Oryzias latipes: one gene and its partners. The protein of the gene in region 2 purifies or fractionates together with the protein of the main gene of each other region. This does not show direct contact. Links are inferred from orthologs where the notes say so. Each region holds a gene or a part of one and is shown on either strand. Other genes may lie near its edges.

Region 1 (4,301 bases), on a different chromosome or scaffold from region 2:
AAGCAATTAATTCGAAATAACACACAAAAGCAATACAATCATTGAATCAGTTATACATTCATACAACAACTAATCAAACTTAGGATAATGAGGCATATTAATAAATATTGCTAGAAAGGGAGAGAAAGAAAGCGAACTTACATAATCCCACCCCGTTATACCATAACCATTTTATTACATGATTTATCAATATCCGGTTTCTAGCTTTTATCAGACAGAATTAAGAATCTTGAAATATCAGTAAAGCACATGACAAAGATGAATTACTTAATTGTAATGTAAAAATAACTATTTTAGAAATCAACAGAATATTCAACACTTTGCAAAATGTTTGGCATATCAGTGAAAAGCCGTAAACGGTTGAAGAGTAACGGTAGTTGAAAGAATCTGTTATTTAGATGTGACTGGCAACATCTCCAGTGTTAAAGGGTTCACTTGTAGAGGCTCCCACTGGGTAACGTCACTAAGCTACACTTCATGACGTTAGGATGTAGACTTCCACAGCTTCTCCCAGTGTGGCCTACATCCCATTGACAAACCTCTTAAATATATTAGTGATGTCATAGAATGGACGACAGCTAATTTTCTCAAACTCAACAAGGACCAAACAGAAACTGATCCTTGGGCCTGAAGCCACACTCACTTCAAAACTCTGGTATAAATGTAGGAAGATCTTAACTTTAAAATCCACATATCAAACACAACTAAGACTGCTTGTATTCCTTTAACAATGTTGCCTTTTATCATATCTAGACGGGACTTTTGTGATGCTCTTTTAATCTATGAATAGATTCCAGCTCGTCCAGAATTCAGAGCTCACATCCCTCCTGGCTTCCTGTCAGCCTCTGGATGATTTGAAGATTCTCCTTCTAGTTTATAAATGTCTTTTTGGATTGGGACCTTCCTATTTATCAGATCTAGGTCCTTCCAAAACCTCCACAACTCTCAGATCCTCAGGTTCTGCTCTCTTATCTAAACGAAAAACTGAGGACCAGGACCCACATTGAGGCCTCATTTCAGTACCGTGGTCCTCATCTGTGGAACCTGAAGATCTGAGAGTTTCTGCATCTGTGGAGAGTTTCACTGTAAATGTTCATGTAAATTCTCAAAAACGTCTTCATTTAATTCAATTATTTATTTGGGTCTAAAGTATTTCATGGCTTATATTGTTAATCGTTTGTACTTTTATTACTCTCTTTATAGAGCGCCTTCTCAACAATAACTAGTAGCCACAGTTTTCTACCATCTTATGTTCACCTCTTGATTGTTGCTGGTTTTATGACTTTTTATAATTTCAACCTGTTTGTTTTTTATGTCAAACACCTTGTGTTCTAAGCACGTTGAAGAAAGACGCTCCACAAATGAAGTGTTTGATGGATTGAGCCAAATGAGTTCTTTATCATCAGCTTAACTACCCGAGGATGGAGTAGAGTTTAGACCACTACAGAGCAGATTCCATTCTCTTCCTGCGGCTGTGTAGCCACGCCCCCAAAGCTTATATGATCGACATGAAGCGGGTCGACGTTTTAGACCCGGTTCCAGTCCTGGCACCAGTCAGGCTCTGGATCCAGAACTGGAACCGATCTGTTGAGCAAAGAGCAACCCTATCAAATAACATCTGAGGAGGACAGGAGGAAGAGGAAGTGTACCTCAGAGCCATCTCCTCATCTGTGATGTCTGTCTGCATGCAGCTCACATCCTTCTCCTCTTCATCTTCATCTTTTGGATTCAACAAGGTCATCAGTTTCTGTGAGGACAACTGACAGGTCAGAGCACACATGCACACGCACGTGCGCATGCACACGCACGTGCGCACGCACACGGTTGTAGGTTGAACCTCACCTCAACCTCTGGGTTAAAGCCTCTGAAGGAGATCCGGCCAAACTGCAAGTCCTCACAGGGAGTGAAGCTCTCCTCCTCCACCAGCACAGTCCTGATGAAGGAGCAGAGGTCACCATCATCCACACCTACAGGTGTTCACACCACTGCAGGCGAGGCGTGCACGAGCACAGACACGTACTCTTTGGTGCAGAGCTCGGGCAGGTCCAGATACCAATGCTCGTCGCTGATGATCCTCCTCTCGTCTTCCTCCAGCTGCTTCTTCGTCTCTGCATCCAGCCCTCTCTGCATGAACTGCAGCCACAGATGACACTTTCATGCATACGCCTACGTGCACGCTCTCATCTGCAGTACAGTATACCTCACGAGAGTCAGTCCACCCAGGTGATCACGTGTCTTAAAGGTTTACAATGCAACTATGTGAAACCGAGCACCAAACTAAATCTAACCCACCTGTGGTTCGTCATTCTTAACCTATTAACTAGTTATGACCACCTTTCAGTCGAAAGCAGACCAACCAAAACAGTCAAGCCCCAAACTATGCCCAGCTCTGACAAATTCAACCAGAAAGATCCTTGAATGGAGATAAGACAGGCCCCTGCCGAAGGATGAAGAACAAGAGGCAGAATTATGGACACGAACATCAGTTCTGGTCCATTTCTCTCACTCTGGAGCCAACAAAATGAATCGACGCTAGCGGCTCGCGCCGCAGCTAGCTAATGGTGCTAGCATGTACCTTCATGCGCAGCAGATTCTTGGAGAGTTTCACTCCGTCGGCAGCCATCTTTCTCCGGTTAACACAAACAGACTATCCGCGCTAAACTAACCTTAACTGATTCAACCTAACCGTAGGACGTCGTTGGTTTGGTTACTGCAGCAGAACAAACGCCCCACGCGCCGGAAAAGACATGTTGTCAAAAGTCGAGCATGCGCAATTCAGGCAGGCCTGATTAATCAAGCACCGAGGAATCGAGGCTTTTCCTTAAGTTATGTATTTATCCTACAGGTAATTTTTGATCACAGAACAGTGAAGTGCAAGCTAAAGAACAGGTGAATCAACGGAAATGCGTTTGATGTGTAGTTTACAACAAAATAAACACAACACATTATAGATAAACAGTAATAAACACGACAGTCAACAAAACCCAACGGGTCACGTGGCAAACATTCCAAAAACTTTATTTGTAAGTCGCTTTACAACAATCGCTGATTGTACCGAAGTAGCCTACATTTTGTAAAAACATAATTGAAAATTAATTTAAAAGATAAGCATGTCATATCATAAGACGAAAGATAAAACACAGGTCAATAATTTATTTTTATTTTTTTCTGTTTTGACTTAAAAAGAGAGACGTGGAACTCTAGAAAACCTTTAGTTAAAAGTACCATAGTACACTTGAAGTTTATTTTAGTAAGATACTTGTATATGCATTGAGCAAATCTACTATAGGCCTAGTAGTGTAGGAAGTATGCTAACTGTATCCTTCGTCAGACTTATTTGGAACATCTTAAGTTTACAATAAAGCATAGAGGTGGTACAAAAAATGTCAACTTCAACAGTGACATGTGATCAGATGAGGCAAGTGAAGCTCGGCCTCACTGGTCAATGTGATAAAATAGAAAAACGTACACTAAGTAAATATGATTTTCCTCTGATCCGTATTAAAGACACATTTTCAGTTGACTCGACACATTTCCCACAGTTTCTGAGGTTAAATTTGCAGAATTTGACTGTTGTGCGCTCACATAGGGAGCAGAAACTCCGGGTGAGGCTCTGGAGCGCTTCGCGTCATGTCTGACTGCAGGACTCAGTTGTAACAGAGAGTACGGTCAGAGCGATGACTGTAAGGGCGGAGAAAAAGCTTCCAGGGAGGCGAGCCTCGCCAGCGTTTGAAAATGAATAACAATAGATGGGTTATTTTCACCATAAACATTTGCTAAACTTCCCTGCCAAACGTGTTATGGATATGTCACAGAGGCGGCCATTTTGCAATAAGCAATACAGTAAAAGCCATTCTGCTGCCCCTAGTGGAATGATGATGAACTGCAGGGTAAAAGACATGGAAAGTTTGTATCATGCTAATGCAGTGGCGGTTCTACACTAACTTACTCCCTGGGCGAGTAACCCCACAGGCGCCCCCCCCCCCCCCGCACACATACAAAATTTGACAACATCCTGTTGTGTTACCTATCTTCTTTTTAGCAATTTTACATAAAAAATGCATGCATTTTCTAGACTCGTATTACAGGGGGGTCAAACTCAGTCAAACACGCTTAAGGTTTTTGGCCGAAGAAGATAAACATTTACTGAACACACTAAAGCTAAACTTTTAAACCTTTTAAACTGAACTTTTTTAACATAAATATGCATAAAAACAGGAACACAAGTTAACTTAAACCCTAAATAACTTGTAATATTTAGCTCTCCATAGAAATATATTCTGTCAAAATTATACAAATAT
Region 2 (4,146 bases):
CAAGACATCAGCTGAGCGTGTGTGAGAGAGGTTTCTGAATATTGAGAAATAATTTTTTAAGCAGTCTTTGTCAGCAGTTTTATTGTTATTAAAAAAAAAAGAACATATATATTGACAGTGAAAATACAGCTTTTAGATAAAAGTCTTGGTCTGGGTGTCTTTATTGTGCTGCCTTCACGCTGTTTAGAACTTTCTCGATGAGTTTCTGGATCTCTCTTTGTCGTGCTGTTGCTCGGTTGATGCAAGTTTGGAGCTTTTCTGCTGACAGGGACGTCCCACCTGAGGCGCAAAGAACCGGGTTTCAGCTCCGTATGATTGGAGTTATTGTGTTGATCGCCGGAAGCGCACTGCACGGCCTGTCTGACCTGGTTTGTGTAGAGAGCAGAGTCGTTCCTCCTCATCTGTGACCACGCTGAGCCGCGATGTGGACAGACTCTCCTCATCAGCGGTGGGATCTACAATCAGGATGGAGCTGCACAAAGAGCACGCTTGGTTTGTACACATGCTTTCAACAAACCCAGAAAATGCAACAATATCTAAAACGTACTCCTGGAAGATACAAAACGAGGTGCCGACTGGATGTTTGTGAACCGGCAGCTCGTGTCGCTCTTTCAAATCTATCTCTGGTTTGCATGTCGCTTTGTTGACGGTGACCTTTGGGAGACGAGCTGTGGGAAGTGAAAAATGCAAAATCAGCCTGTTGATAGACTCCTTTCGGGGCAATTTTCAATTTTAAAACACGGATTAGTTGGTTAAAATGTACAGAATAACTTTAATTATTTTTTTTTTTTTTTTACTGAAACAATGACGTACTGTTCTTCAGTGCAGCCAGCAGAGCAATGATGCACGCATCCAGAATGTTTCCATCATAATCCAGACACATGATGTCACAGTACAGCACCCAGCAAAGCTGCAAAGAGGATAAATAGACTCACCGCTAGTGAACCAACAGTGAAAACAAACGGCATCAGTCTGGATTTACCTTTCCTCTGTCGATGCACAAGTCCTCTGGTTTGATTATTTCAGAGCTGCAAAGGTGGATGGAAGTTGGTGAAAACCATTGGGAGAAATGCAGATAAACTGATGAGAGTAAAGAGATTGTAGTGTTTTTAATTCTGACAAACCTTTCGATGACATCAGCGATAAACTGGCTGGAAGCTTGGGCCTGTTCTCCTGGCGGGCCTGGCCGAAATCGCGAGGAACAGAGGGGTGGTAGGTCTACATTGGGGACTATAAATAACAGGAAAAGTCCAATGATTGGGATTATTTTTCCACTTAAAAACTTGTGCTTTTCAGTGACAACCCTTGAAGCTAAAAATAGAACAAACTCGTATCCATCATGGATAATCCTGAGCATCCTCTGCCTGCCGTACTGGATGGACAGTTGAGTGCCTTTCCAAGTGCTGCTACGATGACTGCTAAAGGAGCTCATTCCTGTTCCACGACATAGGACTGTTTAACTCATCTTTGTGCCAGAGATACGCTGCATTCATCATTGATTTTTGATAGTTGCTTCTCTGTACAAGCTAAGGTCTGCACACTACTGCTACAAATTTAACAAGTTGGCATCGATAAAGTATCTTTAACTATTTTTATCTATAAAAACTTACCAATATATCCTTTACCAGGAGCTTCCACTGTAGGGTTTGCCAATTCCTGCAGAATAGATCAATGTATGACACAGGAAACAACTTGCTAAATGTACAAACACTGAAAGAAGTGGTGGGGGGTTAAGAAATATTCACATAGATCTGTTTTATTTTTTAACTGTACACCTTTTAAAACAAAGGCATCTGGAATAAATTATTAAGAGTGAGTTTCAGTGTAATAACATGTTAACACACAGCTTTGATGCCACAGATGACTGTTGTGCTTCCCAGCTTCACCAATGCAGAGCCGTCTGCCGTGGATATGGACCCTGAACACAAACCCAAAAGAGAAAAGTGCTCAATGATTGTTGTTTGCTTGTATCATAAACACTGCAACTTTGTGGTGCTTCAATTCACCTATATTCAATGTCGTGGTTCTGAATTCAGACAGCTCGCGTCCATCTGGTCGACAGTTCTCTTTCTATGGGGAAAATAAATAAAGTTTTAGATTCAAATTGATATGAGTGTAACATTACAGCGTTACAGTAAAGTTGAAATATTAATTTCTGGAAAGTTCTTAATTCATAACAGCAGATTTTTAAAAAGCAAACCATTTAATACATTTCATTAAGAGATTTGTTTATGTTTCAACTCCCTGAAATTAATGAAAAACAAAAACGCAATAAAACTGTCCATTTTTATTGAAGATCACATGTTGTATGGCAATCCCTAGTATTGTGAACTACAATTTTAACGTTTTTTTCCTTTTTATTTCTTTCTGTTGTAGTTATGTGAATGTGTGTGTGTGCCATATTTTGACAATCTAATAAAAAAATACATAAATAAAAAATTGGACAAACCAGAAAGCTCATATGATATTCCAGAGGTTCAGCGGTCCTAAACAGTCATGAGGGAAGACAGAAAAGGTAAATGCATGTACAAAATCACGTACGTTTAGTGTTATGTTGATAAAATAAAAAATAAATTCTTAGCGGCAATAAATAGAAACCCAATTTACTAACGGACATAACCTAGACTTTGTGATTTCTCCACTTTGATTTAAAGTACAGCAAATAATTCATTTTCTTTATGTAAAGTTAAAAAGTTAATTTAAACGAAAAAAACGCCGTAAATTACATAAAACCTGAACAACTTTCAGATACTGACTTGAATCCAGCCGCCATGATGTTTTGGTACAACACGTGGGTTTGTGCTACGGCAGCCGCAATGGGGAAAAAACCTCGTCCATGCTGTGCTGAACCTGAACACTTTTTTCTTCTTCTTCTTTTAATTTAGGGACGATAAAGATCCGCTTTTTACTGTATTATTTTTTTGGCGTACCCAAATCCAATTTCCAAAAATATAAGTAACTAATAAAGAAAGTGCTACTTTAAGCTTTTAATAATTTACCATTCATGTTTTATTGTTTTTTGTTTTTTTTCTTCCAGATTTTCCTTCAAGTTTTAAACTGTTCTCGTATTTGGGGATTTATTTATTTCATTACTACTGTCTTGTTGATTTTGTGTCATCTTAAAAAGATATTAATATAAATATTATTTCTATTATATTCATTTTGTTAACACCTGTATTAATTTGGTTTTAAACTACATTAAACCATAAAGAAATGATAAAACTGCATTAACCCTTTTTTACAGGCTTGACAATTTTTAATCTAATTATTTTTCTTTTTCAGTTTTTAGTTATAGTTGTTGGTTAGTCTTTTCTTTTTTTGTCTTTCAGACTTTGACATTGCTGCTTCAAACGTTAGGGTTAGCAATGATCATAAAATATATGCATGAAAAACAAAACCTGTTGTTTGGTTGTTCAAACAAACAAACTAAAAACCTGCTAGTGTCAGTACCACCCCACGCCTGTAAGTGGCAGTATGCATTTCTCGCAGCCTGTCATGTGGAGTTCTGCTTCAAACTGATGATGTGTCGAGGAGTAAAATTTACTTCCGTGTTGCTTTTGTGTACAGCTCTGATTGGAAGTGGAGCTTGAAAGCGTTATGGGCTCATAGAGATTCAGTGTTTATATTTCATATATTTTCGTTTACACCTTTGTTATAAGTTAGAGGGTTGGGATACGGAACGGGACAAAGAAGAAAAGCTAGCTACAGCCAGCCAGGTGTAGGTGTTAGTTAGGAGCTGTAGGGCGACTTATGGAAACATGATGGACTTTATCTGTGAAATTATTCAAGTTCTCGTCGCATTAGCGGCTCTTGGTTTCATTGTGGTAAGTGTATGGATAGTTTTAACATTGTTAGTAATGTAACTAACTTCTTAGCACGTGTAAGATAGCGATTTTCACATGTATGTACTAGTACTCCATGGTTTCTGTGTGTGTGTGTGTGGGTGTGTGTGTATGTATGCATGATGGCTGCATTTTCTTTTATTTAAACGTGTCATATCAAAATAGAAATATTAATATACAATGGAGGGGGAAATTATTATGTAAATACAGCTCCTTAATCGGAGTAAAACAAACAATAAAAAGGCAGAAAAAGAAAAGAAGTTGTGAGGAGCAACACTGGCCTATTCTTTTTTTTTTTTTTTTT
Region 3 (3,551 bases), on a different chromosome or scaffold from region 2:
GAGGAAGATGAAGAGGAGGAAGACTTCCATGTTTCAGGGCACAGGAGGAAGATGAAGAGGAGGAAGACTTCCACGTTTCAGGGCACAGGAGGAAGATGAAGAGGAGGAAAACTTCCATGTTTCAGGGCACAGGAGGAAGATGAAGAGGAGGAAGACTTCCACGTTTCAGGGCACAGGAGGAAGATGAAGAGGAGGAAGACTTCCATGTTTCAGTGCACAGGAGGAAGATGAAGAGGAGGAAGACTTCCATGTTTCAGTGCACAGGAGGAAGATGAAGAGGAGGAAGACTTCCATGTTTCAGTGCACAGGAGGAAGATGAAGAGGAGGAAGACTTCCACGTTTCAGGGCACAGGAGGAAGATGAAGAGGAGGAAAACTTCCATGTTTCAGGGCACAGGAGGAAGATGAAGACAGCTCTCAGTGACTTTTACGTTCATGTTTTTTACCCAGCCCTGTTAGTGCGGTTACTACCATATTGCTGCCGCGTCAAAGGCACTGTTTGGAAAGAAAAGCCAGGTATGTCATTAAAACTTTGAAAACTCTTTCTGCACCGTCTTTCTTTGTAGATATCATGTGTTGAACCTTTCCTGCATTACTTTTTTCTTTCTTTCCTCTCCGCTGAAGGTGGATCTTCCTTTGTTTGTTCACTTCCCTGTTTGGACCCTCAGAGCCTCCAGAGTGGGTTAATAAAGGATCATCTTCTCTGGGGGAAACCTTCTTTTATTACAGTTCTCTTTCACTCTGTATATCAACCTCTCTGTATATCGACCTGAGGGTTAGCCCCTAAGACTCATGGGAAGTGGGGAATCGTGGGTGTAAAGTTCCTCACCATGACTGAGGGGGCTGTGAGCAGGAGTGACCTCCATGCGGTTTGGCTGTTTGTGTGCATGAGTAAATGAATAGGCTATAATGCTGAGCAGGTTAAAATGCTGGAAAGGAGAAAATGCAGCCTCTGTCGGCCTCTCCCTCTCTAAAACTGTTCAGAGACAGGGGAGGGACTGCTCAGCCACGGCTAATATACAGGGGCGGCTTATTTGTATATAAAATGGTTTATCTTTTAATGATGTAATGGGTGTGGCTTGTAATCAGGTCCGCTCTATAGCCCGGAATTTACGGTATTCACATGATTCTGATGCAGTTCACATACTGTCAAATGTATTAGTGGAATAATAAACCAATGAGGTTGGTAACACCATACAGTGTTCCATGATTTCTCAAACAGAGAAGCTCCAACTAAAAGCTGATAGGGTTTGTTCACAAACCGTGTCATAGTTTTCAGAAACTTCACAGAAGTAGGATGAAGATGTTAGGGGTTGGTTTTTTGTTCCACCTATTCTGGACATCGTGAAAACAAGAGAGGATCTTTAACCCTTCCAATTCAGCTTTGTTTGTGCCTTCTGTCTTTCTCTGATTCACCTTGATCGTGTCCACATTTCTCTGCTGTGCAGCGTTGCATATCGGCGCTTTTCTCCACTGGAATCGGTTTCACTGCAGAAAGGGCGGTCAAAAGGCTGTAAGGGGCAGAAGCTCCGGGGCAAAGGGGTCTCCCACCTGTTGGCATGGGCTTTTCCTGGCCGTCGTCTGGACTCCTGTCGTCCCCCTGTCCCTCTGTCAGAAGCGTTGCTCTCCCCCTCCACTCGCTCCTCGGCAGCAGCTCCACCACGACCACGTCTCCGTGCACGGCTCTGTTGCGGTTCTTGCCCCCGTGCACCAGCACCCCCGAGCTCAGATCTGACGGGACAGAGAGGCTGTGGAGGGTCGTTCAGCAGGAACAGACGCCCCCCTGAGCCGTTCTTACCCATGGCCTGGCTGGACGAGCCCTCCGTCTGAACCAAAGCTTCGCTCTGGGCTCGGTGTTTGTTCACGCTCAGAGTTCCCTAACGGACCACAGAGGAAACAGGAAGAGGCTTTCTGATGGGGATGTGAGGAGCATCTGTTCATGAATCATGAATGATGAAGAGCAAAAACAAAAGGCGCTTTTTAAATGAAGCTGGTCTACAGCCGCCGCTCAGGAAGATCCTGGACTGCAATTCTCTTCCTTCTTTGGCTGTTGAACTTGCATAGTTTTATTTGTGTGGTTCAGGAAGACAGACCAGACGGTCATTTCTGTTCCTTTTGGTCAAGTAGAGCCGTTGACATTTGACTCCGTTCTGTTGGTTTATCATTTCGGCCTTCGCAGAAGCAACTGTCCGACGTGAAGCTGAGGACGTTTCAGGCTTCCACGTCGTGCGTTAATTTCTGTTATACCATGGTCCGGGTGAACACTCGATTCTGATTGGCTGCTGGGTATGCGTTAAAACCTGATAACCGCACAGTGAAAAAAGAAGTTCCGGTCGGCTAGCTTAAATGATTTGTATCACTGCGCCGGCTTCTGTAAAACAACCTTTTGCTTCATCATCGGGGCAAAAACAAGCGGTAAGCGATTAACTTTCCCTCTGAATTGATGCTTTATTCAACCCATCGGGACGATCAGCATATATATATCGCCGAAACTTGACTGCAGCGGTGGTACTGCGCGACGCGGACTATATGTTATATATATGTACTATATGTTACGTGATGCGGCGCGATGCACTTCGCGGAAGCAACCGTCCTCCGCTTCGCGTCGGACGGTTCAGGCTTCCACGGCGTGCGTTAAAAAGTAGTAACCGCACACTTCGAAGGCCATTAACCCTTACATAATGCACACTTGGAAGTCGTGAACCCGCTTAAACCACGGTCACTTACAAAGGAAATAAATATTTAACCAGCTTTTTAGTCCTTTATCCTTGTTATTTTTTTGGTTTGGATCGCTTTTTCATAAAAAGTGGACTATTTGCTAAGGAAAGCCATATGTATGCTGGTGGTCACGACAGTTAAATAAAGCATCAGTTCTCCTCTTCCCGCTTGTTTCTGTCCAGATGATGAAGATAAAGTTTGTTTTAAAGGAACCAGAGCAGTGATACAGAACATGTATGCTATGTGACCAGAACCACTATTTTAGGTCTACATTATCGCTGTGATTTATCATGTTTTAATGCAAACCCAGCAGCCAATCAGAAACCAGAATTCACCCAGACCGTGGTATAATACATGGTAAACTGTCTTAGCAGCTTTGTTCATGTATTTCTGATGGGCGGACTGATTTGCATTCGAGTTTCTCATTTAATAATATAAAAGGTTAGCCTCAAATCCTGAAGGACTTTATACAAATATATTCCCGTCTTTCATCTGGTCTATTGCCTCTGCAGATTCAGTACCTGGATGTAGCGTCCAGACTTGATGCCAGCCTCCATGACCTCAGCAGGCAGATGTTCAGGAAACTCCCTCTGCGAGTCCTCAGCCTCCCTCTCCTCCAACGCCTGAGAAATGGAGGCGTAGAGCTCCTGAGCCGCCTGCAGATCCGGCCAGAAGTTCTGCAAATAATCCTGAAGAAACGGGTGGATGGATTCAGGAGCATGTCGTCCATGTGGACCAGACGGTTGAAAGCAGCTCATTAGCTGAAGAGGACGGGCGCCTCTCACCTGGACCGTGACGACATAAACTCCTGAGTGAAGGCTGCTGTACTGAGCA

Evidence for each region.
Region 1: the proteins of exosc8 (region 2) and mphosph6 purify together in Homo sapiens (affinity purification with mass spectrometry; 4 studies listed by BioGRID and IntAct, counting the BioPlex papers as one, with this or other methods). This does not show direct contact. The link is inferred for Oryzias latipes from reciprocal best matches to the Homo sapiens genes EXOSC8 and MPHOSPH6.
Region 3: the proteins of exosc8 (region 2) and dis3l purify together in Homo sapiens (affinity purification with mass spectrometry; 4 studies listed by BioGRID and IntAct, counting the BioPlex papers as one, with this or other methods). This does not show direct contact. The link is inferred for Oryzias latipes from reciprocal best matches to the Homo sapiens genes EXOSC8 and DIS3L.

Annotation. Positions count from the first base shown.
Region 1 is NC_019864.2:5,684,960-5,689,260, reverse strand, and holds the start of mphosph6 (M-phase phosphoprotein 6), read right to left. Parts: upstream 2,809-4,301; 5' UTR 2,624-2,808; coding exon 2,576-2,623; intron 2,535-2,575; exon of another isoform or gene 2,293-2,534; intron 2,185-2,292; exon of another isoform or gene 2,134-2,184; coding exon 2,021-2,133; intron 1,934-2,020; coding exon 1,843-1,933; intron 1,748-1,842; coding exon 1,650-1,747; intron 1-1,649. UniProt on the Homo sapiens protein: RNA-binding protein that associates with the RNA exosome complex. Involved in the 3'-processing of the 7S pre-RNA to the mature 5.8S rRNA and play a role in recruiting the RNA exosome complex to pre-rRNA; this function may include C1D.
Region 2 is NC_019872.2:10,272,700-10,276,845, reverse strand, and holds exosc8 (exosome complex component RRP43), read right to left. Parts: upstream 2,829-4,146; 5' UTR 2,774-2,828; coding exon 2,757-2,773; intron 2,487-2,756; coding exon 2,450-2,486; intron 2,071-2,449; coding exon 2,007-2,070; intron 1,919-2,006; coding exon 1,845-1,918; intron 1,657-1,844; coding exon 1,611-1,656; intron 1,231-1,610; coding exon 1,125-1,230; intron 1,029-1,124; coding exon 983-1,028; intron 911-982; coding exon 814-910; intron 669-813; coding exon 548-668; intron 473-547; coding exon 366-472; intron 280-365; coding exon 161-279; 3' UTR 65-160; downstream 1-64. Other genes in the region: alg5 (dolichyl-phosphate beta-glucosyltransferase), read left to right, coding at 3,759-3,824. UniProt on the Homo sapiens protein: Non-catalytic component of the RNA exosome complex which has 3'->5' exoribonuclease activity and participates in a multitude of cellular RNA processing and degradation events.
Region 3 is NC_019861.2:584,701-588,251, reverse strand, and holds part of dis3l (DIS3-like exonuclease 1), read right to left. Parts: coding exon 3,503-3,551; intron 3,407-3,502; coding exon 3,239-3,406; intron 1,877-3,238; coding exon 1,798-1,876; intron 1,731-1,797; coding exon 1,551-1,730; intron 1,488-1,550; coding exon 1,416-1,487; intron 1-1,415. UniProt on the Homo sapiens protein: Catalytic component of the RNA exosome complex which has 3'->5' exoribonuclease activity and participates in a multitude of cellular RNA processing and degradation events.